7 linked regions of the Callithrix jacchus genome follow. The protein of the gene in region 4 interacts with the protein of the main gene of each other region in a pairwise test. Links are inferred from orthologs where the notes say so. Each region holds a gene or a part of one and is shown on either strand. Other genes may lie near its edges.

Region 1 (3,940 bases), on a different chromosome or scaffold from region 4:
CGTCTCTAATGAAAAAGCGAAAAATGCCAAGGGTGGTAGCTCATGAGTGTAATCCCAGCACTTCGGGAGGCTAAATCGGGGTCGGATCAAGACCATACCCACTAACAGGGTGAAACCCTGTCTCTACTAAAAATACACAAAATTAGCCAGGCGTGGTGGCTTGCACCTGAAGTCCTAGCTAACTCCTAGCTTGCACCTGGAGGCCTAGCACTCCAGCCTGGGCAAGAGAGTGAGAGTTCATCTTTAAAAAGAAAAAGAAAAAGTGAAAAATAATTTAACTGGGTGTGGTCCACACACCTGTATTCCCAGTTACTTGGGAAGTTGGGGTAGGAGGATCACTTAAGCCCAGAAGTTCCAGGCTGCAGTGAGCTGAGATTGCACCTCTGTACTCCCTCCCGGATGACAGAGTGAGACCCTGTCTCAAAAAAAAAAAAAGAAAAGAGAAAAAAAGCAAGTTATAGGGTCCAATCTGAGGAAGGGAGTGAGTGTGTGTGGTAAGAGAGGGAGAGGGAGGAGGCCTCTTAAGCCTTCTTAATCCTGAAAATGGGGAGGAGGTCGTTTAAGCTTCAGTGCAATAGTGACCTGACCTAGTTTTCTATTTTTAGAGATGGGGTCTGGCTGAATTGCCCAGGCTGGTCTTGAATCCCTGGGCTCAAGCCAGCCTCCTGAGTAGCTGGGACTACAGACATGTGCCACCCCACCCGGATTGACCTAGTTTCTTTGTTCCGAAATTATCTGTTGTTGTTCCAGGCCAGTGCTGGGCACAAGGTAGTGGAGCCTATTGAGAAATGGCCGTGACCCCCAGTGTTCATTCATCCTTCCATCTTGCAGCTTGTGCTCCCCACCACACATAGCCCCGCTGTCTGGGAGGACTGTCTGCCCCTTGAGGTCACCTGCTCCTGGCAATTGTACCAGGACAGCCTTGCTGTGGGTGCGAGCCACAGGACAAGACAACACACCCGGGAGCTGGAAGGCCCAATCCCAGGGAAAGCACATAGCCTGGGGCAGGGCACCAAGGAGCCTTCCAGCCCCACCTCCTAAGGAAGGAAACCCCAGGCAAGTGTAACCTTAGGCAAGTCACTTTTCCTTTTTGCATCACTGCCTGCCTGTCACTGATTTCTATCCTGGCCCCACACTAATAGCTACCCATTATATATATATGTATGTATTTTAAGAGATGGAGTCTCCCTATGTCACCCAGGCTCACCTTGAACTTCTGGGCTCAAGCGATCCTCCTGCCTTGGCCTCCCCACGTGCTGGGATTACAGGTGTGAGCCACCAGGCCCAGCAGCTGCCATTTTGCCACTTTAATGTGCACCAGCTCTGTAATCAAGTGAATCCTATATGTTCCTGCTAATTAACCCAACAGTCCTACAATGGTGGTGATTAATTGCTCTGTTTTACAAAAGAGGAAACTGAGGCTCTGAGAGGTTGGGGACTGCCCCGAAGCCTTCAGTGCGTGTGGATGCAGCTGGGATGCAGGGAGCCAATGGGCTGGAAGTGAGGCGACCCAGCAGGTGGAGGCGGAGGGGAACTCACCTCCATGGTGGCTGCTGCTGGTTGACTGTCCCTGCTGGTGACTGGCGTCCCCCGGGAGGCCTGGGGCCTGGCGTCGATGCTTGCCAGAGCCTGGGGGCCTGTCCCCTGCGGTGCTGGGGCTCAGGCCCCTCTCTGCAGAGCTGGAGTCTTCCTGCTCACTCGGCTCAAACTCTGGGATCTGGAACATGCTCTGGGCTGTGAGGACAAGATGTTAGGTAGTCAAGGCACAGCTGGGGCCAACGGTGGTCCTGGAAGGCAGAGGCAGGTGCCCCTGGCTCCCTCTCCCACCCTGGCGCCCCGAAGCCCGCCAGGCCTCCCGGGCCCTCATCTGTCTGCTGGGTCTGGCCTGGCAGGGAGCTGAGGCTGTCGGCTCAGGACCTCAGTCTCCCGTCAGAACCCTGGTGGACCCAGGCCCCTACCCAGGGGCCTACCCAGGTCCCGCCCCGCCCGTGGTGACGGCGGACAGGTCTCACCCCAAGCCCGATCTCGAGGCCCCTGACCCGGGCCTGCCGCCTCCCTCCTGCAACCGGGCTCCCGGCCCTAGTTGCCTGGGCAACGGGAACTGTCAGCGACCTGCCCCAATCACCTCTCGCAACGTCACTCGGGTAGGTCCAGAGGCGGGGTCAACCCGGCCCGGCCCCGCCCCCCCTCGTCCCGACCTCCTAGCCCACCGCCTTTTTCCTACCTCCCGCGGCCCGGGTTCTCACATCCCTACTGCCTCACACCTTGGATGTGTGTAGGAGCAGGAGAGGGATTCTCTGGGGTCCCCATTTGGAACCTGGAGACCTGCTTCTGCAGACAAGTCCTTCAGCCCCTCTGGGCCTTAGTTTACCTCCAGTGAAGAGGGGATGGTGACAGCTCTCCCGGGAGCCAGTGAAAACTTTGTGAAAGGAGTGATTACTACGGGCGAAGGCGCTCGGCACAGCCGCAACTGAAGCTCAGCCGTCGGATGCGATTATTGTTGCTATTGTTACTGCTTCGCCTGGACTGGGTGACCCGGTCGGAAAGTCCCGTTCCCCGCTCCTCCTCCCAGGCGTGGAAGCTTCGCGCCGCCCGCCTCGGGGGACACCTCCCGCGCCATCTCGGGGGCACTGGAGATAAGGGAGGGAACCTCCTCCCTGGCTGGGATGGCTGCCCGGGCGCGGGAGGAGGGCCGGGGACCCAGTGAGGGTGGACCGTAGGGCCCGCGGGGGCTTCGCGCCTGGCAGGCGGCAGGCCAGGTGAGCGGGGCCGCGGGCGCGCCAGGACGGGGGGCGGGCCCGCGCGGGGGATTCGGGGCTCCGCGGGTTCAGACCCGGGGGCGGGGCCCGGAAGCCATCTTGGCTATGGGCGGAAGTTTTCTTTAGAGACCGAGGGTCGGGGATTCGTTGTCCCCGGCCGGGAGGCAAGACCCCAATTTGGGGATGGGGGAGAGAAGCGTGGGAACTGGCGGCCCCCCGAACTAGTAAAGGCTGGCGGCCCGGGGCGCGGCCTACCCGGGGGTCCCCTGTGTGCGGCACAGTCCCCCGCAACTCGGCCGCCCGCCTGCCGCCTCCTGTAACCCCGGGCGCCCGCCAGCGGCGCAGCTCGTGCCAATTCTCGAACGGCTCCACGCCGGGTGCGGCGCTAGACTGCGGAGCCAGCCCGGCCCCTGCGCAATTTGCGTAGCGAACGGCGCCCGCGCAGGCGCAGGAGGGGGCGGAGCAGCGGGAGCCGGGGAGCCGGAGCCCCGGGTCCCCACGATCTGAGCCGGCTCTCCCAGCAGCGGCCTGAGGACCTGGCATCCGCCTCCTCCCGCCCCTTGACGCTGGAGAGTGGACGCGGTGGAGGGGTGGGGCGGGGGCAGCCTCCGAGAATTCCGAGGACAGAAGGCAGAGGCTCTCCCCATCCGCATTATTGGAGGAGAGAGCCTCCCCCAACTTGGGGAGGGGGAGAGCGGGGCATTGGGCGCCCCCGATAGCGGCCGCTGCCCTGGGCCAACGGGCATCGGCCGGCTCTCCCCCTCCAGCCAGGACGACACGAGCGATTCAGGCCAGGGACTCCTTTCCTTGGGCCTCTGCTTCCCTCCATCACTGGCTCTGGGGTAGGCCCAGGGAGGAGACACCACCAACCCTCAACCGATCTGCCCTGGAGAGAAGAAACTGCCCTTCCATGCCCCTGAGTGAGGGGCCTGGGGCCCAGGCTGCCCATGTTCCCCAAGGGCAGGGGTCTCTCTGTTGAGGAGGAGAGGTCTGTCAGCCACAACTTCTTTCCTCCTGAGCGCCCCATCTCCCTCTCTGCACCCTGCAATTCCCACCCCTCCGTATTTATTTCCTTGGCCCCGCCGACAGCCCCTCCTTCTCTGTCTCAGGGATTCAGGCCTCCCTCCCTGACATGGAGAGTAACCTGTCTGGCCTGGTGCCTGCTGCCGGGCTGGTGCCTG
Region 2 (4,193 bases), on a different chromosome or scaffold from region 4:
TGTCTGTCTTTAGGCCTTGGAACTAGCCAGTGGTACACAGCCTCTTAATTGGAGAGGTTAGTTTCCTAAAAGCCTGCAACTCTTACATGTTGGAGGGCGGTGTGGGGTAGGGGTGTGGGGGGGGGGTGACTGCTAATTGTTTCCCAAGCCACCTAACCTAAACTTTCTTGTTCTAAGTGAGTGTCGCCCCCTGGTGGGGTGGGAATAACCTTGGCATATCATCAGGGAGGCCAGTTCAGGCAGGAGACTTCCCGTCAGAGAGGGGTGGGGGGGCCTCGAAATCCCAGGCTCAGCCTGATTTGATTTTGTCATCATTCCAATGAGAGCAAGCATGCTCTTCTTAGACAATATGATTTATAGTTAGGCCTGAGTTCAAGTCCTCACCCTGCTGTTATTGGGTGAGTTTCCTAACCTCTCATTACCTAGTTTGCTAATATGTGAAATGTGGAATCTCAGAATTGTTGTGAAGATTAATAAAATAAAAATTTAAAAACTACTTTGCAAAGTCTAAAGCCTAAGTAACAACTTGTTATTTTCTCTACCCTGGAAAATGAACCTAAGGGAAAAGAAAAACAGCTGTGTAGGCTGGGTCCAAGGAGGGGAGCTCTTTATGAGCTGAGACTGTGGCATGGCAGTCTACCCAGAAATAGTGCTAAGGGTCTCAGTCAGCTGTCCCATCTTCTGTTCTGCCCAGCCCCTAGGGATAGTGCAGACTGATCGCTCAATCTCCTAAGAACTAGGGGACGTTCCTCTGCTCATCCAACCCTCTGTACTTGGTTGTATGCTGACCTCACCACCTACGGAGGTACAAGCCAGCAGTAGGGCTTGAGGCTCCCCAGTTTTGTGATTAGAGCCCCATATTTCTCAGGACAAGTTTTTCACAGTATCTTTTGAGATCTTTCCTCACAGTTTCTTCACGGAAGGCCAAGGGAACTCCCAATCTTGTGCTCTAAAGTCAGAGCCCTACCTCCTTCTTCATGACTATATTCCCTAACAGTAAAGGAACATTTTCCCCCAAAACTTGGATAGCCCCTTACAAGGGAGAGTTTCTTGGCAGCACAAGGTAAACTGACACAGGTAGCAGCTCACAGCCCTTTTTCTTCTTAGTGAATAAGATCAGCTACATTTCCCCATGAATATTATTGTTTTTACCTTTGCCACTGCACTCCCTCCTCCTAAGTAGAGCAGTGGTAGAACAGTACCGCTACACTGAGGTATTGGGAGGCAAGCAGGGAATCCAAGTAATCCCACAGGAATGGGAGAAAAGGTGTTGGGGTGGGAAGTAGGGGAGGAGGCAAGGCTAGGTTGGTGCGGGGAATCCACACATTTCCTGCTGTACATAGGATAAAGACTTCTCTGTGGGAATAAGTGTTTGGGGCAGCCCAAGCCAAAGTGCTGCGAGTGTTCAGCAGTGAGCAGAGAATTCGATTTTCTCCAGGGCAGGGACAGTGTCTTATTCATCTGTGATCCTCCAGCATCAAGCACCGAGTGTGGACTATACTATGTACTAAGTAAATGTTTGTCTAACTGGAGATTCAAGGTGGATCTCTGGGCTTCCCAAAGGGGTGGGGGTGAGAGGCGGTAAAAGGGGCCCCAGAGTTTAAGTAAGGGAGGCTGGGGGTCCAGGGGGTAGATGGTGTTGGGAAGGAGGTAAGAGGGTCATAATTACCTTCCATCCTGCTGAGCTGTTGCTGTCACCCTTGTCTTTGAAGTAGGGCACAGTACGGACCATCCACTCGTAGATCTGGGCGAGTGTCAGTCGCTTCTCTGGGGCGCTTTCAATGGCCTGGCTGATGAGTTCTGCATATGATTGATTTCCCCAGGCATTCCGGCGGGAGCCTCCCTTCCGAGGACCTGTTACAGCCCCCAGGATTCCGGGCTGGGGGCCCCCCACCGGCTCTGGGAGCCGGGAGGGCAACAGGATCGGCTCTGAGTGCCCCTCCGTGTGTACCTTTTCCCCCAGACCTGGCTCCACCTCGGGCGGCTCGGAAGGCTGGGTAGAGAGCTCTGGTCGGGGAAGGGGCCAGGTGCAGGAGCGGGGACGGCTCTGGGGTTCGAAGTCGGGATCGAGGTCTATGATCGCGGCAGCCTCTGTGGCTGAATTCTCATTCCCTGGATCCATACGTGGAGTTGGACCTCCCCGGCTCAGAGTTCAGTGAAGCCTGCCAGAGTCCCTCACGATGCCTCCCCTCAGGGGGGAAGCACCGAGGGCCAGGAGGCACATTCCTGCCAGTCCTCAGAAAGTCTCGAACTTCCCCCTAGTCCCAGGACGCTAGCCCCTAAGCTGTCCCTTCACACAGTTCTCCAATCCCCTTTCCGACTACAGCCTACAGCCTCAGAGCTCTTTCTGAGATGCCACCTGTAACCTCCGCCGAGCAAAGACACTTTTTCTGCCACCTCTCACTCAGCTTCCTGCTCTTTTAAACCTGAGGCACGGTATCCCCTCATACATTGCGCTCCCATCACCGAACGTCTCCTTAGCCGCAGTTCCCTCCCCCTTTTAAGTTGCTGCCCCCCGGACACTCCTCCCAAATTGCCTCCTCCCGGATCGCTGCCCTCCCCCACGCCCCGCTCCCCCGCGTCACTTGCCCCTCCCCTGACTCCCTCTTCCCCCGCCTCTTCCCTTCTCGCCACTCTTAATAGGGTCCTGGTCCCCGCTGCTGCGACCTCCCTTATTCCCGCACCGATTCCCCTATCAACCCCCCCCACCCCCCGCCCCCCGGGTTTCCCTTTTGTTTTGCTCCAAGCAGCAGCCCCCGCCTGACGTCTCTGTTTACCACTCTCCGGGGCAGCCATCTGCGCACGCGCCTCGGAAGCCAGTCGGGAAACCGAGTTCTTCAGTCGTGCCACCCTGGTCACTCTTGAGGACTACAATTCCCGTCCTGCTTCGCGGCCAGGAGCCCGATACGACGGCAGGAGAGCGGCGTGGCAGGATATAAGGAGGTGGAACTTTAATTATTAGAAGTCGTCACAGACTCTTTATTTTCTTAAGAATCGTTTTTCGCCCTTTCCCCCCTTTCCATCGCCTCCCTTGTGAGTCGGGGTCGCCTAGGTGACCACATTGAGAGATGCTAGCCCTTTCTCTCCTTCATTTAGGAGAGGGCAAAAGGGGAAAAAATCTTTTCTTCAAGAAGCAGGAGACCGAGAAGCAAGAAGCAAGGAACAGACTATAAAATAGGATGTATGCACATTGGAGAGTTGGGTAGGGGGCTGTGTAACATAAACAAATGGTTAGCCCATGGTGGCGTTCCCCCTCACCCCCTTCCTCCTCCCTCCACCCGCCTTCATCCGACATATGCAGTTCCCACTGACAGTGAGGTCTCACTAATCAGTTTCCTCCACTGGCTTTTCTGGCCTTCCCTTCAACACTAATATTCTCTTCACATCTCCAGCGGCTTCACTTCTTATTCAACAGGTCCCAAACTGAAGTCATTATCTGTTCCTGCACCCACACCCCTATCCTCTGGCTACCCATATCTCTGAATTTGGCTTTTGATAGTCTTGGTCTACCCAGTCTCCCAAGCTAGAAGTACCCATTACCTCTTCATCTCCATAACTTTCTACATCCAAATCCCGGTTCAAGACCTTATTTATAACTGTATTTAAATTGTAGGATCAACAGGGTGCAGTGGCTCACTCCTATAATCCCACCACTTTGGGAGGTCGAGGCAGGCACATCACTTGAGTTCAGGAGTTCAAGACCAGCCTGGCTCACATGATGAAACCCATCTCTGCTAAAAATAGAAAAATTAACCTGATGTGGGACATCCAGCTGTAGTCCCAGATACTTGGGAGGCTGAGGTAGGAGAGTCACTTGAACCCAAGAGGTGGAGGTTGCAGTGAGCCAAGATAGTGCCACTGAGCTCCAGCCTGGGTGACAGAATAACACCCTGTCTCAAAAAAAAAAAAAAAAAGTTGCAGTATCATCTCAATTGGATCTCCTTCCATCGGTGTTTTCTTCACTACAGTTCATGTTCAGAGCTGCCAACAAGGTTACTGTTCTAAGAAACATGTATGGCTGGGTGAGGTGGCTCAAACCTGTAATCCTAGCACTTTGGGAGGCTGAGTTGGGCGGATCACCAGAGGTCAAGAGTTCAAGACCAGCCTGGCCAACATGGTGAAGCCCCATCTCTAAAAAATAAATAAATAAATAAACAAATAAACAAGAAAAAAGAAACATGTCTGGAAATTAT
Region 3 (3,018 bases), on a different chromosome or scaffold from region 4:
AAAAATGTACAAGCAATAATTCAGAAAGGAAAAAGATTTAGACATTATTACCATTCAGAAAATTGCTAAACGGTGAGGAAAAATGTAAAATTCATAAAACAATGCTTATTCAGGATCTTTTTTGTGAAAAATTCATACAAAAATCAACAGCAAATTTATACTCTTTGCTATAAAAACTCATTAGGTACATATGTGCATGAAGGCTTGGAGACAGAAAGGGTTCTGTTAGAAAATAATTAAAATTAAAGTACAAAGTTGTCGGGTAGTTGCCCAGTGGCGAATGTGTTGGCGATTTGAATTCTAGCCAATCTGGAGCTCGAAAATACATGAATTTCAATCAGGATCCCTTTCCATAAGCACCTTTAGAGCAAATTCACAAGTCATTCGTTTACAGGGACCTTCGCAATCTGCATTCATTTTATATATATATATATATATATATATATATATATATATATAAATGTGTGTGTATATATATATATATACTTTTTCTAGAAATGCATTATAAATATTTTATCAAGATTTCATAAGAATCAAGTTTCTTAGCTTGGAATACATTGGAATATATATTATACACATATATATTTATTTATACCTAAAATTTAAGCAATACTTCATGCTACTTGCTTTTAATAAAAAGCATTCCGATCGGAGCACTGCAAGTGTGCCTACCACATGCTTCACGACCAGATGGAGATGCTCAATCGCTATGTGATGTGTGACAAGAGAACACTTTGGATTCGTCTAAAATTTGTTGGACTTCAAAACCTCCAACGGGATTTGCCACTTTTTTGGAACTACCTCCATTTTCCTTAAACAGCAATAAAGCAAAATGGGGCCCGGCGGGCTACAGCCCCTGGCCCCGGAGATGATGGCCGGTGCCCGAGCTTGGGGCTCAGGCCAGGTCATGGGGCCAGCACTGCCAGCCTTAGCTGGCCACAGGAAACTGTCCCACCAATTCCTGCTGTTTATTTTTTCTTAAGGCATTGTTCCTCAGACTTCAGAAAACCCAGCCACAAAAATCCACCAGAGCAATAAAAAAAAGGCACAAACTCGCATCTTCCGATGGCTTTGAGAAACTCAAGCCAGCTTCCCCAGGCTCACACTCCTGATTCTGTCCGGTTTTGTCTTCTTTAAAGGTCACTCTGTCCCCCACCTGGGTGCAGACCCCCCCACTGCACACTGCTATGGTTCACAGCGGCAGGCCACAGCCGTAGAAAACGTTCTCTTTTAAAAAAAAAATAAGCTACAAGATGAGTCGAGTGGTTTACACAGAGACTGTGGAGTTGCGTGTGATAATCAAACTTTAAGCACCTGTTTTAGTCAAGTTTGTTTTGCATTATCAGATCTCTGATGCTCATTTTCTGTGCCTCGCGTCAACGGAATTCAGCGGCTCGGCCGCTCGTCGCCGCAGGCTTCTTTCTACCGCGGCGTCCCTCGCGGGACCCGCCAGAGTGTGCTTGGCTTGCGCGTGTCCGAGTGTCTGCGCGTCAGCCGCATCTGTCCCGTGCTCCCTGTGAGGCCGCCACGCCCAGGTGTGCATGTGCATCTCGAACCTGTGGGCCCAGGCGGCAGAAAGGCTTCCCATGGCTGTCACACGCCAGGTGTCCCTGGGTGCTCCGAGAGCCCCGTGGTGGGACGCAGGCGTGACACGGGAAAGTTTCTTGGCTGAGCTTCAGGACAGACAGACAGACAAGAGAACAGCAGCTTCGAGGGGCGCTACAGGGGCGGCTCCTCTTCCATGGGCTCCTCGTCTGGTCTGTGCATCCCGCAAGAGAAAGAGACAGGGGCGTGGGGCACATGCCCCGCAGCAGAGAGAGAACAGAACGTGGGTTAAAGGCCGCGCGCTGCCCCAGCTGCCAGCCTAGCCCAGGTGGCATCTGTTCAGGGCCTACTGCTCCTTATGTGTCTCTAAGGGGCTTTGGCACTGGATGGAGGGGGCCACCTGGCCTGTTTCTAGTCTGATGGGCATCCCTCTCCCAGGGCCTGCCCTGCCAGCTTGGTAGGGCATGTGCCATAAAGGTTCTGACCCTGCAGAGTATGTCACTGGGCACAGTGGGGCTGGGTGGGCCTGCAGGCGGGCGGCAGGGCAGGTAGGCGGTGGGGCAGGCGTGCGGCGGGGCAGGCGGGCGGTGGGGCAGGCGGGCAGCTGGGCAGGCGCTCACCTCTTTTCGGCGGGCTTCACGCCCACTGACAGTGAGGCCATGGCGGTGACCGTCTCGGCCTCGTCGTTCTCGCAGGTCTGAGCCTCGATCAGAGAGCGCCCCGCCGTGGAGGCTGCACGTTGTAGGCAGCGCCAGTACTTGCCTGGGGCAGGGAGAGGAAAGGTGTTCAGTGACTGCAACTCCGCAGGAGGCTCCGTGGCCTGGGACGTTCCTGCAGGACCCTGAGCCTCAAACGACATCGATCCCTTGTGATTTTTGAAGCAGCCCTCTTCGAAGAGGCACGAGGCAGGCAACTGCATAGCTGCAAACTCACAAAGACCAAGAATCTCTGGAAATATTTCCCCATCGTGAGTGGCTGGAGACCCTCCAGGAGCAAGCCGGCCTAGGACGGCAGACGGACGGTCTGGTGGGCCTGATTTTCCATGCTCACGGGCCCCTTTCTGCCCTGGGTGGCCAGGAGTGGGGGCTCCCAACCTGCTGGGCTGAGCCTTCCCATCTCATGGAGCAGGTGAGCTGGGGGATTGTTGCTGGGGCTGAGGGGTCTTCTGCCTGGGCCCTCACAGAGGCTGGGGGTGGAGGGGTACTGCACCAGGTACAAGGAGGGCTGGGCTGGCCCAGGGTCAGCTTCAGGGCTCTGAGGCCAGGACTCCCCCACACAGGGAAATGGGAGCCAAGCTCTGGACTGTACCTGCTTGTGTGGACAGTCTCAACCTTCTGGGTCATCTCAAAGGCAAACTGGGCTTGTGATGACAGGGTGTGGGAGGTGCCTCTGAGATAGGCTGCGTGCCATGCCCCTGCAGCCAGGACCCTCTGCTTGAGGGTCAGTGCCGGAACGCAGAGGGCCTACACCCTG
Region 4 (2,946 bases):
CTAGCGTCCCCCCTGGGGGATCAAACTGGACTGCTTCCCAGCCTCAGACAAGAGGGCAGTCTGAGTCAGGCAGGAAAGTGGGACAGCTGGGGAGCTGGACCCCACCCTCTGGAAGCCCCGCTGGTACCTGATGGCATATGGCTTGGAGAGGGCAGGTGACCTGGCATGGAGGGCCAGAGGGTAAGTCCTCAAACAAGTGGCAACAGGCCACCAACTTGAAAGGGAAAATTGTGTAGTGATGGGAAATGTGTTCAACAAACCTACTGGGTGACTAATTACAAAGGCTGGGCTGGAGCGTCAGAGGCTGCTTGTTAAACACTTTATTAAGTGGCACTCCGAAAGCTGCCACCTGTGCATTCTGGGAGCTCAGAGGGGACCCATCTGGGGGATGGAACTGTCTTCAGGTAGACTGAGGAAGCAGCCTGGATCTCATTTCCAAACACAGCCTGGAGCTCATAGGTCAGAGGCCTCATGGGAGAAAATCTAAAGGAGGTAGGGTGCAGAAAAGAGTTTCAGGGAATTGGTGGCTATGTGACTTTGAGCAAATCTCACCCCTCTCTGAAACTTAGTGTACCCATCTCTATGGTCCTGTGTATGTCACAGAGACATGGAGGGGATTAAAGTTGATCATGAATATAAAAGTGCTTGAGAAACTGTATAGCCCTACCTATACATGAATTATTCTCCCCTGAACCAAGCGGGGGAAGTTACCTCTCCGGATTAGGAACCCCATCCTCCTGAACCTTTATGAGCTCTATCAAGGCTGAAGCAGCCAGGGGCTAAAGCCATCCTTAGCCCCTGGAAGGGCACTGTGAAAGAGGATCTGATATGAGAAGCCAGGCAGCTTCCTGATGTGGGCAGTCATGTAATGCCAGTCCTGAACAAGAGGGGGCAGCGTGGAGCCCAGAAAGGCACCTGTGCAGGTGGGGCCAACGCCCAGATTTCTCCTGCTGACTGTCCTGATGACTCACTCCCACATCCCAACCCTTTTACCTTTCATGCAGAGCCGGAAAGGGTGTGGGGAGGAGAGGAGAGGGAGGCAGGTCTTGGGCCCTGGTCCTGCCCCCTGCTCCTCCCCACCCTTCTCAGGGCCTGGCCACCCAGCCAAAAGGCAGGCCGAAAGCAGGAGAGGCACAGAGTCCGGGATTGGTCCCAGGCAGCAGTTACCCGCCGCCCTCCTGTCTGTTCCCAGAGCCATGGAGAGAGCCAGTCTGATCCAGAAGGCCAAGCTGGCAGAGCAGGCCGAACGCTATGAGGACATGGCAGCCTTCATGAAGGGCGCCGTGGAGAAGGGCGAGGAGCTCTCCTGCGAAGAGCGAAACCTGCTCTCTGTGGCCTACAAGAACGTGGTGGGTGGCCAGAGGGCTGCCTGGAGGGTCCTGTCCAGCATTGAGCAGAAAAGCAATGAGGAGGGCTCGGAGGAGAAGGGCCCCGAGGTGCATGAGTACCGAGAGAAGGTGGAGACTGAGCTCCGGGGCGTGTGCGACACTGTGCTGGGCCTGCTGGACAGACACCTCATCCAGGAGTCTGGGGACGCCGAGAGCCGGGTCTTCTACCTGAAGATGAAGGGCGACTACTACCGCTACCTGGCTGAGGTGGCCACCGGTGACGACAAGAAGCGCATCATTGACTCGGCCCGGTCAGCCTACCAGGAGGCCATGGACATCAGCAAGAAGGAGATGCCGCCCACCAACCCCATCCGCCTGGGCCTGGCCCTGAACTTTTCCGTCTTCCACTACGAGATCGCCAACAGCCCCGAGGAGGCCATCTCGCTGGCCAAGACCACCTTCGACGAGGCCATGGCTGATCTGCACACCCTCAGCGAGGACTCCTACAAAGACAGCACCCTCATCATGCAGCTGCTGCGAGACAACCTGACCCTGTGGACGGCTGACAACGCCGGGGAAGAGGGGGGCGAGGCGCCCCAGGAGCCCCAGAGCTGAGTGTTGCCCGCCACCAGCCGGCCCTGCCCTGCCCCCTCCAGTACCCCACCCTGCCAAGAGGACTAGTATGGGGTGAGAGGCCCCACCCTTCTCCCCCAGGCGCTGTTCTTGCTCCAAAAGGTTCCATGGAAAGGGACTGGCAGAGCCGAGGCCACCTGGGGCTGGGGATCCCACTCTTCTCGCAGCTGTTGAGCACACCTAATCACTGGTCATGCCCCACCCCTGCTCTCTGCACCCGCTTCCTGCCGACCCCACGACCAGGCTACTTCTCCCCGATCTTGCCTCCCTCCTGCCCCTGCTGCCTGATGTTAGGAATTGAGGAGTAAGTGTCCCGCCTTGTGCCTGAGAACTGCACAGTGGTAGGGGCTAGAGATTGTGTGTGTGTGTGTGTGTGTGTGTGTGTGTGTGTGCGTGCGCTTGCCAGTGCAAGATCGAGATTGAGGGAAAGCATGTCGGCTGGGTGTGATCATGTTTCCTCTCAATAAAGTTCCCCTGTAACACTCCTCCTGTCTCTTCCAGTTCTTGGCGATGGGCTGGGAGTGGGACTGGAATCTGATTTAGAGACCCTGAACTTGGACCTGAGTTAGGACCCTGACCTCCCTGGGTGCTCAGTGACCCGCACGCAAGACTTTGAGTCCAGGTGAGGCCGGGGTCCAGCTCTGTCCTTCAGGGAGGCCCCACACTGGACGGGCCCGGAAGGGGCCGGTGAACCCACAGGAGGCGCCAAGGCTCCTCTGCCGGGCTGAGGGGAGGTGAGTGGGAGCCGCGAGGTTGACGAGCTCAGGTGGGGCGGGGCAGGAAACAGTGAAGTCTCCGGCGTGAGATCTAAGGACAGCGCCGCAGTAGCGAGCGGCACTGAGCACCCGATTTGCAAGCAGGTCACAGTCTCATCACGGGCTCCGATCTCAGCGGAGGGGAATACCATCTGAGTGAGGCAGAGGTATAGCGCAACCCTAAAACCCCAGATCTCAGGAGAGAGTCGTGTCCCACAGAGTTCGGAGAT
Region 5 (3,500 bases), on a different chromosome or scaffold from region 4:
TTTTCCAACTTTTTGATGTCATCATCAGTATTTTATTCAAATCTAAAAAACACATAGAGTGTTCTCCCTCATCTTGATTAAGCAATTATTTTATTTCAGTGAAGAAAATATTTGGAAGCTCTGTGAATACATCAAAAACCATGACCAGTATCCTTTAGAAGAATGTTATGCTGTCTTCATATCTAATGAGAGGAAGATGGTAAGTTGGTGAGTGATTGCAGAAAGAAAATAAGAGATTTAGGATGACATTAGAAGCTAAATAAAAAAAGAAAGAAGTTAAATATAGCATGGGTGTAGTATTCTTCTGGAGTGTGCTTTATAAAATACAGCAACAGTTAAAAGTTTGCTTTTGACCGAGATTTTTTTTCCATACAAGGCATGATTGAGTTAGAAGAGTTGAGTCCCTTCTGTTGCCCAGGCTGGAGTGCAGTGGTGCAATTCTCAGCTCATTGCAATCTCCATCTCCCAGGTTCAAGTGATTCTTCTGCTTCAGCCTCCTGAGTAGCTGGGACTACAGACATGCACCACCATGCCCAGCTAATTTTTGTAATTTTTAATAGAGATGGGGTTTCGCTATGTTGGCCAGGCTGGTCTTGAAGTCCTGGCCTCAAGTGATCCTCCCACCTCAGCCTCCCAAAGTGCTGGGAGTATAGGCATGAGCCACCATGCCCAGCCTAGTCTCTTACTTTAGATAAGGAAATATGTGATGATCTACACAGATTTAAGTCCCTTTTCTTTAGGTATTAATGTAGGCCTGTGTTTTTTTCTTTACTTTTTTTGATATGGAGTCTCACTCTATCACCCAGGCTGGAGTGCAATGGTGCGATCTCGGCTTACTGCAACCTCTGCCTCCCAGGTTCAAGTGATTCTTGTGCCTCAGGCTCCCAAGTAGCTGGGATTATAGGCGCCCACCACCATGCCCGGCTAATTTTTGTATTTTTAGTAGAGACGGGATTTCTCCATGTTAGCTAGTCTGGTCTCGAACTCCTGACCTCAGGTGATCTGCCTGCCTCAGCCTCCGAAAGTGCTGAGATTATAGGCATGAGCCACTGTGCCTGACCATTTTTTTTCTTTTTTAAAATTCAAGATGGAAGAAGTAGACTTTTTAAAATGGCTTAGAGGCACATACTCTCAGTATTAAAGTAAGGATTTGTCTCTGGAGTTTCAATAGAACTGCAGTCAACTTATATGAAGAATTAGAAAAAGTAAGCCCTTCATATTTTGTAAAACACATTTGCAAGCATCATCTCATTTGATCCCAATGGAAGCCCTGTGAAATAGGCAAGGTTTGGATAACTTTCTTCATTTTATAGATGAGGAAATAAAGACTTAGGGTGGACCTCTGAATAATTAAATGGAAAAGCAACATTTGATACCTGCCAGGACTTCTGATTCCTAGTTCAGATCCCTTTTCACTCTCCAAAGAACATCATTCAATAGCTTGTGCTCTAGAGAGCTTTAATTGTTGGGGACACTTAGAAAAATTTAGATTTCTTCCTCTTCATTCATTCTTTCACCTTGATTTTTTGCATGCTTAAAAGTATTTTATTTCTCATGCATGTATTGCTTTAAAGAATTTAGTAGTTGTCAGGTACAGTGATACATGCTTGTAGTCCCAGCTACTTGTGAGGCAGCTGAGGTGGGCAGATCACTTGAAGCCAAGAGTTCAAGACTGCAGTATACTATGATTGCACCTGTGAGTAGCCACTGCACTCCAGCCAGGGCAACATACCAAGATCCCATCTTGGCCAGGTGCAGTGGCTCGCACCTGTAATCCTAGCACTTTGGGAGGCCAAGGTGGGTGAATCACTTCAGATCAGGAGTTCGAGACCAGCCTGGCCAATATAGTGAAACCCCCTCACGCCTGTAATCCCAACACTTTGGGAGGCTGAGGTGGGCAGATCACTTGAGATTAGGAGTTTGAGACCAGCCTGGCCGATATGGTGAAACGCTGTGTCTACCAAAAAATAAAAACAAAAAATTAGCCAGGTGTGGTGGCACATGCCTGTAATCTCAGCTACTTGGGAAGCTGTGGCAGGAGAATTGCTTGAACCTGGGAGGTGGAGGTTGTAGTCAGCCAAGATCATGCCACTGCACTCCAGCATGGGCGACAGAGTGAGACTCTTTCTCAAAAAAAAAAAAAAAATCCCATCTCAAAAAAAAAATGGTTAAAGAATTTAGTAGTGGTTTAACTGAGGGTATGGCTTATAAAATGTATTGTATTTTGTAGATACCTATATGGAAACAACAGGCGAGACCTGGAGATGGACCTGTGATCTGGGTAAGGCAGTTAAATTAATACAGAGGGTACTGAGGCATTATGACTTGTAACCTCTTGGTGTTTTGTATGTTTTGGTAAAGCAGAAGTGGCCTATGCAGTAGAGAAAGGCTATGGTCATTATTAATACATTGATCTTTTGAGAATAGGTGTTATTTGGTCTAAGGTGGAAATATATAGGCATATTTTCTTTTAACTTTTTGTTTTGAAATTATAGGAATGATTTTAAATGGTAGATATGTTTGTAATCTCCTAGACTCTTATCCATTTAGCAGAGGAAGGAATTTTGGCGACATGTAGTCTGGCTACGCATTAGAATTATCCGGAGACTGTTAAAAATGTAGTTTTTGGCTGGGTGCGGTGGCTCACGCCTGTAATCCCAAAACTTTGGGGGGCCAAGGTGAATGGATCACTTGAGGCTAGGAGTTTCAGACCAACCTGACCACCGTGGTGAAACCCCATCTCTAATAAAAATACAAAAATTAGGCCAGATGCAGTGGCTCATGCTTGTAATCACAGCACTTTGGGAGGCCGAGGCAGGTGGATCATTTGAGGCCAGGAGTTCGAGACCAGTCTGGCCAACATGGCAAAACCCCATCTCTACTAAAAAAATACAAAGATTAGCTGAGCGTGTTGGCATGCACCTGTAGTTCAGTTACTCGGGAGGCTGAGGGAGGAGAATTGCTTGAACCTAGGCGGAGGAGGCTACAATGAGCTGAGATTGTGCCACTGCACTTCAACCTGGGTGACAGAGAGAGACCCAGTTTCAATAAATAAATGAACAAATAATGTAGTTTTCTGGTTTAGTAAATCTAGAGAGGGGTTCAGGAGTTAGTGTTCTTGATGAACTGCCAGATGAACATGACTGGCATTTGAAAAATACAGATCTACTCCCACCCTTTATGTTTCAGGGAAGAAATAAACACAGAAAAACAAAGTGAGTAGCTCAGAGTCACTTAGTTGGTCAGTAGCAGAACTAGGTCTCAGACCTGGATCCTTTCCAGTACAAATCTACATGTCACCTTAACCCATTCCCCTTAAGAATGGAGGCCAGGGTTGGGCACGGTGGCTCACACCTATAATCGCAGAACTTTGAGAGGCTGAGGTGGGCAGATCACCTGAAGTCAGGAGTTCGAGACCAGCCTGGTCAACATGGTAAAACCCTGTCTCTACTAAAAACTTGGGAGGCTGAGTCAGGAGAATTGGTTGAACCTGGGAGGTG
Region 6 (3,500 bases), on a different chromosome or scaffold from region 4:
GAAAATCAAACACTGCATGTTCTCACTCACAGGCGGGTGTTGAACAATGAGAACACATGGACACAGGGAGGGGAGTATCACACAATGGGGTCTGTTGTGGGGTGAATAAGGGAGGGACATAGAGGGGTAGGGAGGATGGGGAGGGATAACACTTGGAGAAATGCCAGATACAGGTGACCAGAGGGATGGAGACATCAAACCACATGCCATGTATGTATGTACCTATGCAACAATCCTGCATGTTCTGTACATGCACCCCAGAACCTAAAGTGGAACAAAATATATAAGGATTTTGAGTGTGTGTGTGTGCGAAATCCCAAATACTTTTGGTCCCTAGTTTTTCAGATAAGGGATATTCAGACTGTAACTCAAGCCCAGAGTTCATGAACTTCATATGAGTGAAGCTCACCACCATCTTTTGCCTGGAATCCTTTAACAGTACCCCATTACTCCCTTAATTCATTCAAATCCTTTCTCCACGTATGCCTGACACAACAGATGTGCAATAAATACCTGATGCAGCCTGATGCATAAGGTTGCCAACATGATGTTTTAAAGCTGAAAATCTAATTATGCCACTCTAAATTTAAACCTTTCACTGGCTTCTCTTTGCTGTATTGGAAATGTGTATCATTGTCTCCACATTCTAGACTTTGCCTTCCACACTGGTAGTTGTTGTCTGTGATATTCTTCCCCTTGCATTGCTAGGCTCTGCCCAGGTTCTTTAGCAAAGAATGGTTTCTTGAATTTGAGCTTTTGACCAGTGAAGTCTCTGATTGGGATGTTCTTCTCTCACCTATTCCTACTCTGAATTTTATTTTAAATGATACATTCTCAGAATATTTTCCTTACCCCTTAATCTGTTATCTCCTTCTAAAATATATCTTCCTCTCTGTATCACTTAGCACACTGGATATGATTATCTAAAACTGTTAGACTGTAAAATTCCCAAAAGTTAAGACTGTTCCTCTCCTGTTTCTGGTTACATCCTCAAGCACAAAGTCTGGCACATAAAAAGTACCCAAATTGAGCCACTGAACTAATATGAATAAACCAGTTTCTGATTTCTGTTTGACTCGACTTAGACTATCCAACTATTCTGTCAGAGCCAAACAAAACAATCTAAAGGTTGCTTTTGTCAATGTTTGTTTACATATATTATTGATGCCTACATAGTGACTCAAGTTCACAAACCTCTAAAAATAGAAGTGACTTAGCAATCTTCTAGTTTAAGTTTAAGAATTTATGGTTCTTTAAATCATGCCAATATCCATGACAATATAATTCAAAGTCAGAAGAGTTATCTCAAACCTTTATAGGCACTGTTCTAAATTCTCCATGGTCTTCATTACGTCCCTGGAGCAGAACTGCAGATCACTTATATCAGAAACTCTGTAAGTCCCACCCAACAATCTGAGTTAACAATTTCTCCAGATGTCTGTTCATGCCCACAGAAGTTTGGAAACAACTGCCCTCGATGACCAGGTCAGATCCACATGTCATCGAGGGCCTGTGGTATATCCAAGGTATAACAATTAAGGGTTTTAAAATTTTGGATTCTCTTGGTTAAAGAATAGGAAAGGCGATGTGTTCGTTTATTTTACATCAAGTTTACCTTTAAGTCAATGAGGAAGCCTTCAAATGGTCTGTAAGGATTGTGGACAATAAGGTGGAAATTAAGTTGCTGTATAAGTAGTAGTTCATACTCCAGTATCTGTTCAAGTGCCTTCTCCTGTCCAAGAGGACTCTCCCGAAGGTTTCCAACAAACTGAGGACTAGATACATTGAATTCATCTACTTTGCAGGCCAAAAATGCACAAGTGAGCCTAGAGGAAAAAATAAGGAGGTACGGGGGTGGGGGGTGGAACAACATGCATATACTTTGAGAAATATCTAATTTATTTCTAAAAGTATATTCTATAATTGTCTGATATTCAAAAGTGACTGGTAGACATTGCAGGAATATATATATATTTTTAAGATAGCTCTTTGTTCACACTTTCATCCATTAGGAGACATAAGGCAGACTATAAAATCAGGTCAAACCAACTAATATTGCCATGGCATTCAACCATCATTCACTCAATGACAGTGTCATGCAGGACAACCTAAGTATCTGGAAAAACAAATTAACTGAGGAATAAGAATACTTTGTATCATGTAGACAAAGAGTTAAAAATAAAGCAATACCCGCTTATATATCATATAAGCATGGGAAGAAAAGTAGGTTTAAGGAACTTTGTGGAAGCCCATCCATGGAAGTCTCTGAGGGCATCTGAATAAGGAATTATTATTTCAGGGACAAATGTGTGAAATTTACCTGGCCACTTCATGCTGTTCAGTATAAGAAACTAGTTAAAAAAGCTATTGCAAAAATCAAGGTTGGAAGTGAGATCAAGGGCCTAATCTTGACTGGAGGAAATGGGAATCGAAAAGAGAAAACAGGTACGTTGTCATTGAGAACAAGCTCTTTGATGAGTCTCATACTAATTTCAACTTTAATGATAGACACAGTGCTCAGCAGAGAGCAGAAACAAGAGACCTTTGTTCAACTGAAATGAATCTGAAGTTATAGCATCCAAACACTGACTGCATGTGGAAGGAGAGGGGCCACTACAAATGATTCTCGGTCTGAACAACTGGAAGAACTTAGGCGTCTAACAGGGAGAGATATTAGAGAAGCACCTAATTGAGAAAAACAAAATTTGAATCTGGACAACTTGAAGTTCAGATGCCATCAGTATTACCGAAGTATAGGTAAATAGAGATCTTAAGTTCTGAATTAAAAAAAAAAAAAAAAAAAAAATTCAAGTCTAAATGACCTAGATTAGGAAGTCAGTTCTCTGACACAACTCTCCTTCCACAAATACTCAAAGAGTATAAAAGTCTCTTTAAATGAAAATAAATTAGACAGACATACTCACATTATTATCCTGGGATGATATTCCATTACTGAATTATTAAGATAAAAACGCTTGAAATACATACAAGCTGTACCCTAAGGGTTAAAAAAAAATCATCAGTATTCACAAATGTTACCTGTTAAATTTTGTGAAACAGAATTTACTTATGGAAAGGTTTCTTTGTAGAGATTACCCATAAAAATGCTAATATTAATTCTTCTTTAATCAAAATAAATTGATGAATTACTACATAAATGCCATAGCCAAAAGACCCTTTCCCGTCCTTTGGTTGTCTATCCCCAGACTACTCTGGCTAATCCTTCCTATGGTCACTGGATTTAAAAATAGGGTATGTGTGTTTCAGAATTCAGAGTACCAAAAATGACCTGAATTAAATTCAAGGAGAAAAAATACAAATGTTCAGAGATTAACCAATCTTATAAAAATATTAACAAAAATACATGGGTAAGGTAATAAGCCTTCTCTCTAAAGTCACTTCATATTTTTTACATAACCGTATGTCCACTCCATGATTTGTGATCACTGCTGCTAACTGAACAGCAAAAGCAGCACTACTATTTACTGAATGCATCCCAT
Region 7 (4,256 bases), on a different chromosome or scaffold from region 4:
GCCAATACAAGAGTTAAAAATATAACAGGGCATGTTAAATTAATGCAACAATGTGTGATAAACCCGACTTAAACACAGCCAACAATTCAGTTTTAAATACACTATATGGCTGATGGCTCACACCTGTAATCCAAGCACTTTGGGAGGCTGAGGTGGGCAAATCACCTGAGGTCAGAAGTCCAAGACCAGCCTGACCAACACAGAGAAACCCCGTCTCTATTAAAAAGAAATTAGCTGGGCATCGTGGTGCATGCCTGTAATCTCAGCTCCTCAGGAGGCTAAGGCAGGAGAATCGCCTGAACCAGGGAGGTGGAGGTTGTAGTGAGCCAAGATCATGCCACTGCACTCCAGCCTGGGTGACAGACCCCAGACTCTGTCTCAAAAAAAGAAACAAACAAAGACCCATTTGAAATCCTTCATTACCACAAATCTGCTATGACTGTTTCTGGCTTCAGTTTAGAAAGTATGGCGCTCCTACTCTTGTTCAATACAAGATTTTGCTTCTGAGTGAAGATCAATGATCAAAACTAATCAATCAGGCACAGTGGCTCACACCTGTAATCCCAGCACTTTGGGAGGCTAAGGCGGGTGGATCACATGAGGCCAGGAATTCCAGACCAGCCTGGCCAACATGGTAAAACCCCATCTCTATTAAAACTACAAATATTAGCCGGGCATGGTGGTGCACGCCTGTAATCCCAGCTACTCCGGAGGCTGAGGCTTGGTAATCATTTCAGCCTAAGAGGTGGGGGCTGCAGTGAGCCAAGATCACAGGACTGCTCTCTGGCCTGGGAGACAGAAACTCGGTCTCTCTCTCTCTCTCTCTCTCACTCACACACACACACACACACACACACACACACAGTTTCTTTAAATGGACTATAAGAAAATTAGTTCCCTGATTCACCTAGTCTAAGAGGTTGTATTACTCTTTACATAATTTTCTAATCTATCTCAGGTGGAGAAACAATCACCACTGTTCTACCTACTCAGGGTTAAAGAGCATTAAATATTATACACTAATATGCTACAGGGACACTTTAAGGTTTACGTTTACAGATTAAATTATCAGACAGCTATCCAGCAAACAAGTGGCATTTTTAAGATCAAAATGAAAGCACTGGCACCACTAGGCCACATCTCAGGACATTACTGAAAGCATGAAAATACTCAAAGCAAGGAAGCATTCCCTAAGAGAAGACATTTCGTGCCGGCAATGACCTCATGACACTTTTAATGAAGGGCCGGGGACATTTCTTTACAAGTTATTTGCTAAATGTTTTACAGAAGACAGCCAACAACTAGATTGAAACACTTTTGAACCCAGAAGAGTTCAGAAAACGAACAAACATTTCTTCAATGGAATTTCTACTACAAGTTCTCATTCTCCAGCAATGCTGTTCCTGGCATTCTGTCGTTTCACGTGAATAAAATAAAAGGTTCCTTTTATAAAACCATAGCCTGTGAGCGCTGAGAGACCTAAGCGCTCATCTAAGCCAACGTGTGTTTAGCAAGGAGGACGGCGAAGCCCCCAGCGGGTGTCCCTCTGCCAGGCCGTGAGTGGCAGAGCAGAGCTTCACTACGCATCTGCTCTCCTGCCTTCCAAAATGTGCAGCCAACTCCTTCAGACAAGATCTGTATGGACAGGAGTCTGTGCCTTCCCCAAGGCTGCGCCCTAGTGTTCTGGAATCCCGCGAAGATCCCCGAGCGGACACTCAGTGGCTGTGATTAAATTCAGTTCCAGGCCGTCTTAAGGCACGAGACTGTCCACTTGACCGGATCGATTCATCGGCACCAGGAATACAGGGATCGATGTGACCGGACACACACGCACACCTGCGCCGTCCATCGTGCGGCAAGCTGACCTTCCAGGGACCGAGCCGGAACGCCGCAGCGACACTGGCCGCATCATCGACGGACCTCGCAGACCCGCCCGCCGCGGCGGGAAAGGGCGGCCTGCTGCAGGAAACCGTCCGACCCGCTGCCTCTCGGGCACCGACGGCCTGCCCTCCATTTCCAGCGCGTTCGGGCTGGGGGGGGACACCGGCCTGCAGGGCACGGCCCGAGGAGCGCGAAGGCCACCCACCCTGCAGGCCCGCCGACGGGAGCGCCCGGGGTACTTACGTTTTCGGTGTCTCGTTCATTCACTGTCGGCAACGGGGTCCTCGTGGACATTGTACTGCGCTTCAATTCTGCACAATACGACGGCGAGAACAGAACGGCACAGCCCTGGAAGGCCGGCGACCCGCGTCCTCGAGTCCACGGCAGGCCTGGAGCGGCGCCGTGGGGAGGGCGGCTCCCTTCCCCCTATGGCTGTCTAGATCCCGGGCCTGGCCCGGGCCGTACCCCGGCGGGTACCGGGGCTCATTCTCTCCCTGCCCCCGGCGGCCGCGGCGAGGAGCCCGGGAGGGCGGCAGTGGCGGGGCTGAGGCTGCGGGCGGCGTGCTGCGCTTCCGCCCGCCGGCGTCCCCTCGTCTCTGGGCGCCCCGCGAGCCCCGGCCCCCTCGCCTCCTTCGCCACTCCCGCCCGTCGCGCCGCGAATTTCAGCTCGCGGGCCTCCACACAGCGCCGCCGGCGGCCCCTGAAAAACAGGAGGCGGAGGAGGATGTGAAGGAAGTGGAGCGCAAGACAGGCCTCGGCGGGCTGGAGGCGCCGACCATGGAGCGGCCTACGGACAAGGTGCCTGCGCCCGGCTGCTTCTCCCTCTCCAGCGAGCTTGCAGCCTCAGCCTCCGCCCTAGCGGCTGCCGCTACCGCTGCCGCCGCCGCCGCACCCCGGCCCCTCAGAGCCTCACGGACTCAAGATGGCCGCCCCTCGGCTTCCTCTGCTGCCTCCGGATGCCGGAAGTGACGACACGCCGCCTCCCGGAGTCCGGCCAATCAGCGTGGCCTGGGAAAGCCGGCCCGGTTGCTGTTGCTAGGGGCGACTTGGTCCAGACCCCCGCCGCGGGGGCGGTGCAGAGGGCTAGGAAGTGCCGGCCGGGTCCTGGCTGACTCCCGCGGGCTGCGGGTTCCTCCTGTCAGGAACGCGCGGGCAACCCCGAAAGAGCCGGGAAACGGCCCTGGGCAGCAGCCAGAGCCCTCCCGCTGAGTAGGCATTTACAGACCACAGGCCCGGGTTGGCTGGATTACAGATGGAGAGCCTACTATGCGCAAAAGTTGCGGTTGCATCCCTGGGACTGCGCAGCACCGAGTGGAGGCACAGAAGCAATGGATGACAGGGCCGAGGCTACGGGAAGGAGCCGGGCTCTTGCATCCTTAACTGTGACCCGGGCGTCAAGCTCTCGCCAACAGACCTTCCTGCATCCGGATCTGAGCAGCTGCGGTCTGGGCGCAGACCCCGAGCGCAGCAGACACTTCTTGCCCTCAAGGAACTGGTGGTCAGGCGGGTGACAGACCCGGACCCAGCTAAATGCCATCCGGATGGAAGAGTGCAATAACGAGGGTGGCACAAAGGAGATGTGGTCGGGGCCGAAACGAATCTGTAGAGGCCCCGCCAGTTCCTAAATGCCTATAGGGGATTTATAAGCAGGCTTTTCTTACAGACAGTGCGTAGCCGCTGGAAGGCTGGAAGCATCTCCGCGTGCCAGCCTCGGCCAGGCTCGGTAGACGCCTGCAGGCTGGAACTCTGGTAATGCTACCTGTCCTGGAAGCCTTCCTTGCCGGTTCACCTCTTCACGTGTTCGGTGCCTCTGCTCAGCTCCTAGCCAGCGGTGGATGAAATCCATGGGTGCAGGGTCCAAAGAGGGAGAGTGGTGTGGGATGGAGGTGACACGAACTGTTACTGAGGGTCAAGTCTACTTTGTGAGTTCATGATATTTGTTACTCCATTTAGCCTCAGGGTAACCGTATGAGATGGGCAGACTTTTGATCTGAAGTCTAGACAGGTACAGTGACATGGCTAAAGTACCCAGGTTGGCTAGCAACAGAGCTGGGGTTCTAACCCGGTCCCCAAAGCTTGGATGAGAAGCCCTCGGAGTGGGTGGCTAGCAACAGAGCTGGGGTTCTAACCCGATCCCCAAAGCTTGGATGAGAAGCCCTCGGAGTGGGTGGCTAGCAACAGAGCTGGGGTTCTAACCTGGTCCCCAAAGCTTGGATGAGAAGCCCTCGGAGTGGGTGGCTAGCAACAGAGCTGGGGTTCTAACCTGGTCCCCAACGCTTGGATGAGAAGCCCTCGTAGTGGGTGGCTAGCAACAGAGCTGGGGTTCTAACCCGGTCCCCAAAGCTTGGATGAGAAGCCCTCGGAGTGGGTGGCTA

The links.
Region 1: the proteins of SFN (region 4) and BAD interact in binary tests that used the Homo sapiens proteins (3 or more experiments, as listed by UniProt). The link is inferred for Callithrix jacchus from reciprocal best matches to the Homo sapiens genes SFN and BAD.
Region 2: the proteins of SFN (region 4) and FOXO4 interact in binary tests that used the Homo sapiens proteins (3 or more experiments, as listed by UniProt). The link is inferred for Callithrix jacchus from reciprocal best matches to the Homo sapiens genes SFN and FOXO4.
Region 3: the proteins of SFN (region 4) and HDAC4 interact in binary tests that used the Homo sapiens proteins (3 or more experiments, as listed by UniProt). The link is inferred for Callithrix jacchus from reciprocal best matches to the Homo sapiens genes SFN and HDAC4.
Region 5: the proteins of SFN (region 4) and NTAQ1 interact in binary tests that used the Homo sapiens proteins (3 or more experiments, as listed by UniProt). The two-hybrid records come from large-scale screens. The link is inferred for Callithrix jacchus from reciprocal best matches to the Homo sapiens genes SFN and NTAQ1.
Region 6: the proteins of SFN (region 4) and CCNH interact in binary tests that used the Homo sapiens proteins (3 or more experiments, as listed by UniProt). The two-hybrid records come from large-scale screens. The link is inferred for Callithrix jacchus from reciprocal best matches to the Homo sapiens genes SFN and CCNH.
Region 7: the proteins of SFN (region 4) and MARK3 interact in binary tests that used the Homo sapiens proteins (3 or more experiments, as listed by UniProt). The link is inferred for Callithrix jacchus from reciprocal best matches to the Homo sapiens genes SFN and MARK3.

What each region holds. Positions count from the first base shown.
Region 1 is NC_133511.1:121,342,697-121,346,636, forward strand, and holds the start of BAD (bcl2-associated agonist of cell death), read right to left. Parts: upstream 2,801-3,940; 5' UTR 2,311-2,800; coding exon 2,265-2,310; exon of another isoform or gene 2,181-2,264; intron 2,094-2,180; exon of another isoform or gene 1,971-2,093; intron 1,735-1,970; coding exon 1,540-1,734; intron 1-1,539. Other genes in the region: integral membrane protein GPR137, read left to right, coding at 3,892-3,940. UniProt on the Homo sapiens protein: Promotes cell death. Successfully competes for the binding to Bcl-X(L), Bcl-2 and Bcl-W, thereby affecting the level of heterodimerization of these proteins with BAX. Can reverse the death repressor activity of Bcl-X(L), but not that of Bcl-2.
Region 2 is NC_133524.1:68,376,856-68,381,048, reverse strand, and holds the start of FOXO4 (forkhead box protein O4), read right to left. Parts: upstream 2,801-4,193; 5' UTR 2,123-2,800; coding exon 1,670-2,122; intron 1-1,669. UniProt on the Homo sapiens protein: Transcription factor involved in the regulation of the insulin signaling pathway. Binds to insulin-response elements (IREs) and can activate transcription of IGFBP1.
Region 3 is NC_133507.1:160,370,064-160,373,081, forward strand, and holds the end of HDAC4 (histone deacetylase 4), read right to left. Parts: intron 2,308-3,018; coding exon 2,166-2,307; intron 1,760-2,165; coding exon 1,720-1,759; 3' UTR 501-1,719; downstream 1-500. UniProt on the Homo sapiens protein: Responsible for the deacetylation of lysine residues on the N-terminal part of the core histones (H2A, H2B, H3 and H4).
Region 4 is NC_133508.1:63,512,005-63,514,950, forward strand, and holds SFN (14-3-3 protein sigma), read left to right. Parts: upstream 1-1,133; 5' UTR 1,134-1,196; coding exon 1,197-1,943; 3' UTR 1,944-2,446; downstream 2,447-2,946. UniProt on the Homo sapiens protein: Adapter protein implicated in the regulation of a large spectrum of both general and specialized signaling pathways. Binds to a large number of partners, usually by recognition of a phosphoserine or phosphothreonine motif.
Region 5 is NC_133517.1:73,974,115-73,977,614, reverse strand, and holds part of NTAQ1 (protein N-terminal glutamine amidohydrolase), read left to right. Parts: intron 1-99; coding exon 100-199; intron 200-2,230; coding exon 2,231-2,281; intron 2,282-3,500. UniProt on the Homo sapiens protein: Mediates the side-chain deamidation of N-terminal glutamine residues to glutamate, an important step in N-end rule pathway of protein degradation.
Region 6 is NC_133503.1:123,464,033-123,467,532, reverse strand, and holds part of CCNH (cyclin-H), read right to left. Parts: intron 2,999-3,500; coding exon 2,925-2,998; intron 1,827-2,924; coding exon 1,616-1,826; intron 1-1,615. UniProt on the Homo sapiens protein: Regulates CDK7, the catalytic subunit of the CDK-activating kinase (CAK) enzymatic complex. CAK activates the cyclin-associated kinases CDK1, CDK2, CDK4 and CDK6 by threonine phosphorylation.
Region 7 is NC_133509.1:138,222,991-138,227,246, reverse strand, and holds the start of MARK3 (MAP/microtubule affinity-regulating kinase 3), read right to left. Parts: upstream 2,801-4,256; 5' UTR 2,176-2,800; coding exon 2,125-2,175; intron 1-2,124. UniProt on the Homo sapiens protein: Serine/threonine-protein kinase. Involved in the specific phosphorylation of microtubule-associated proteins for MAP2 and MAP4. Phosphorylates the microtubule-associated protein MAPT/TAU. Phosphorylates CDC25C on 'Ser-216'.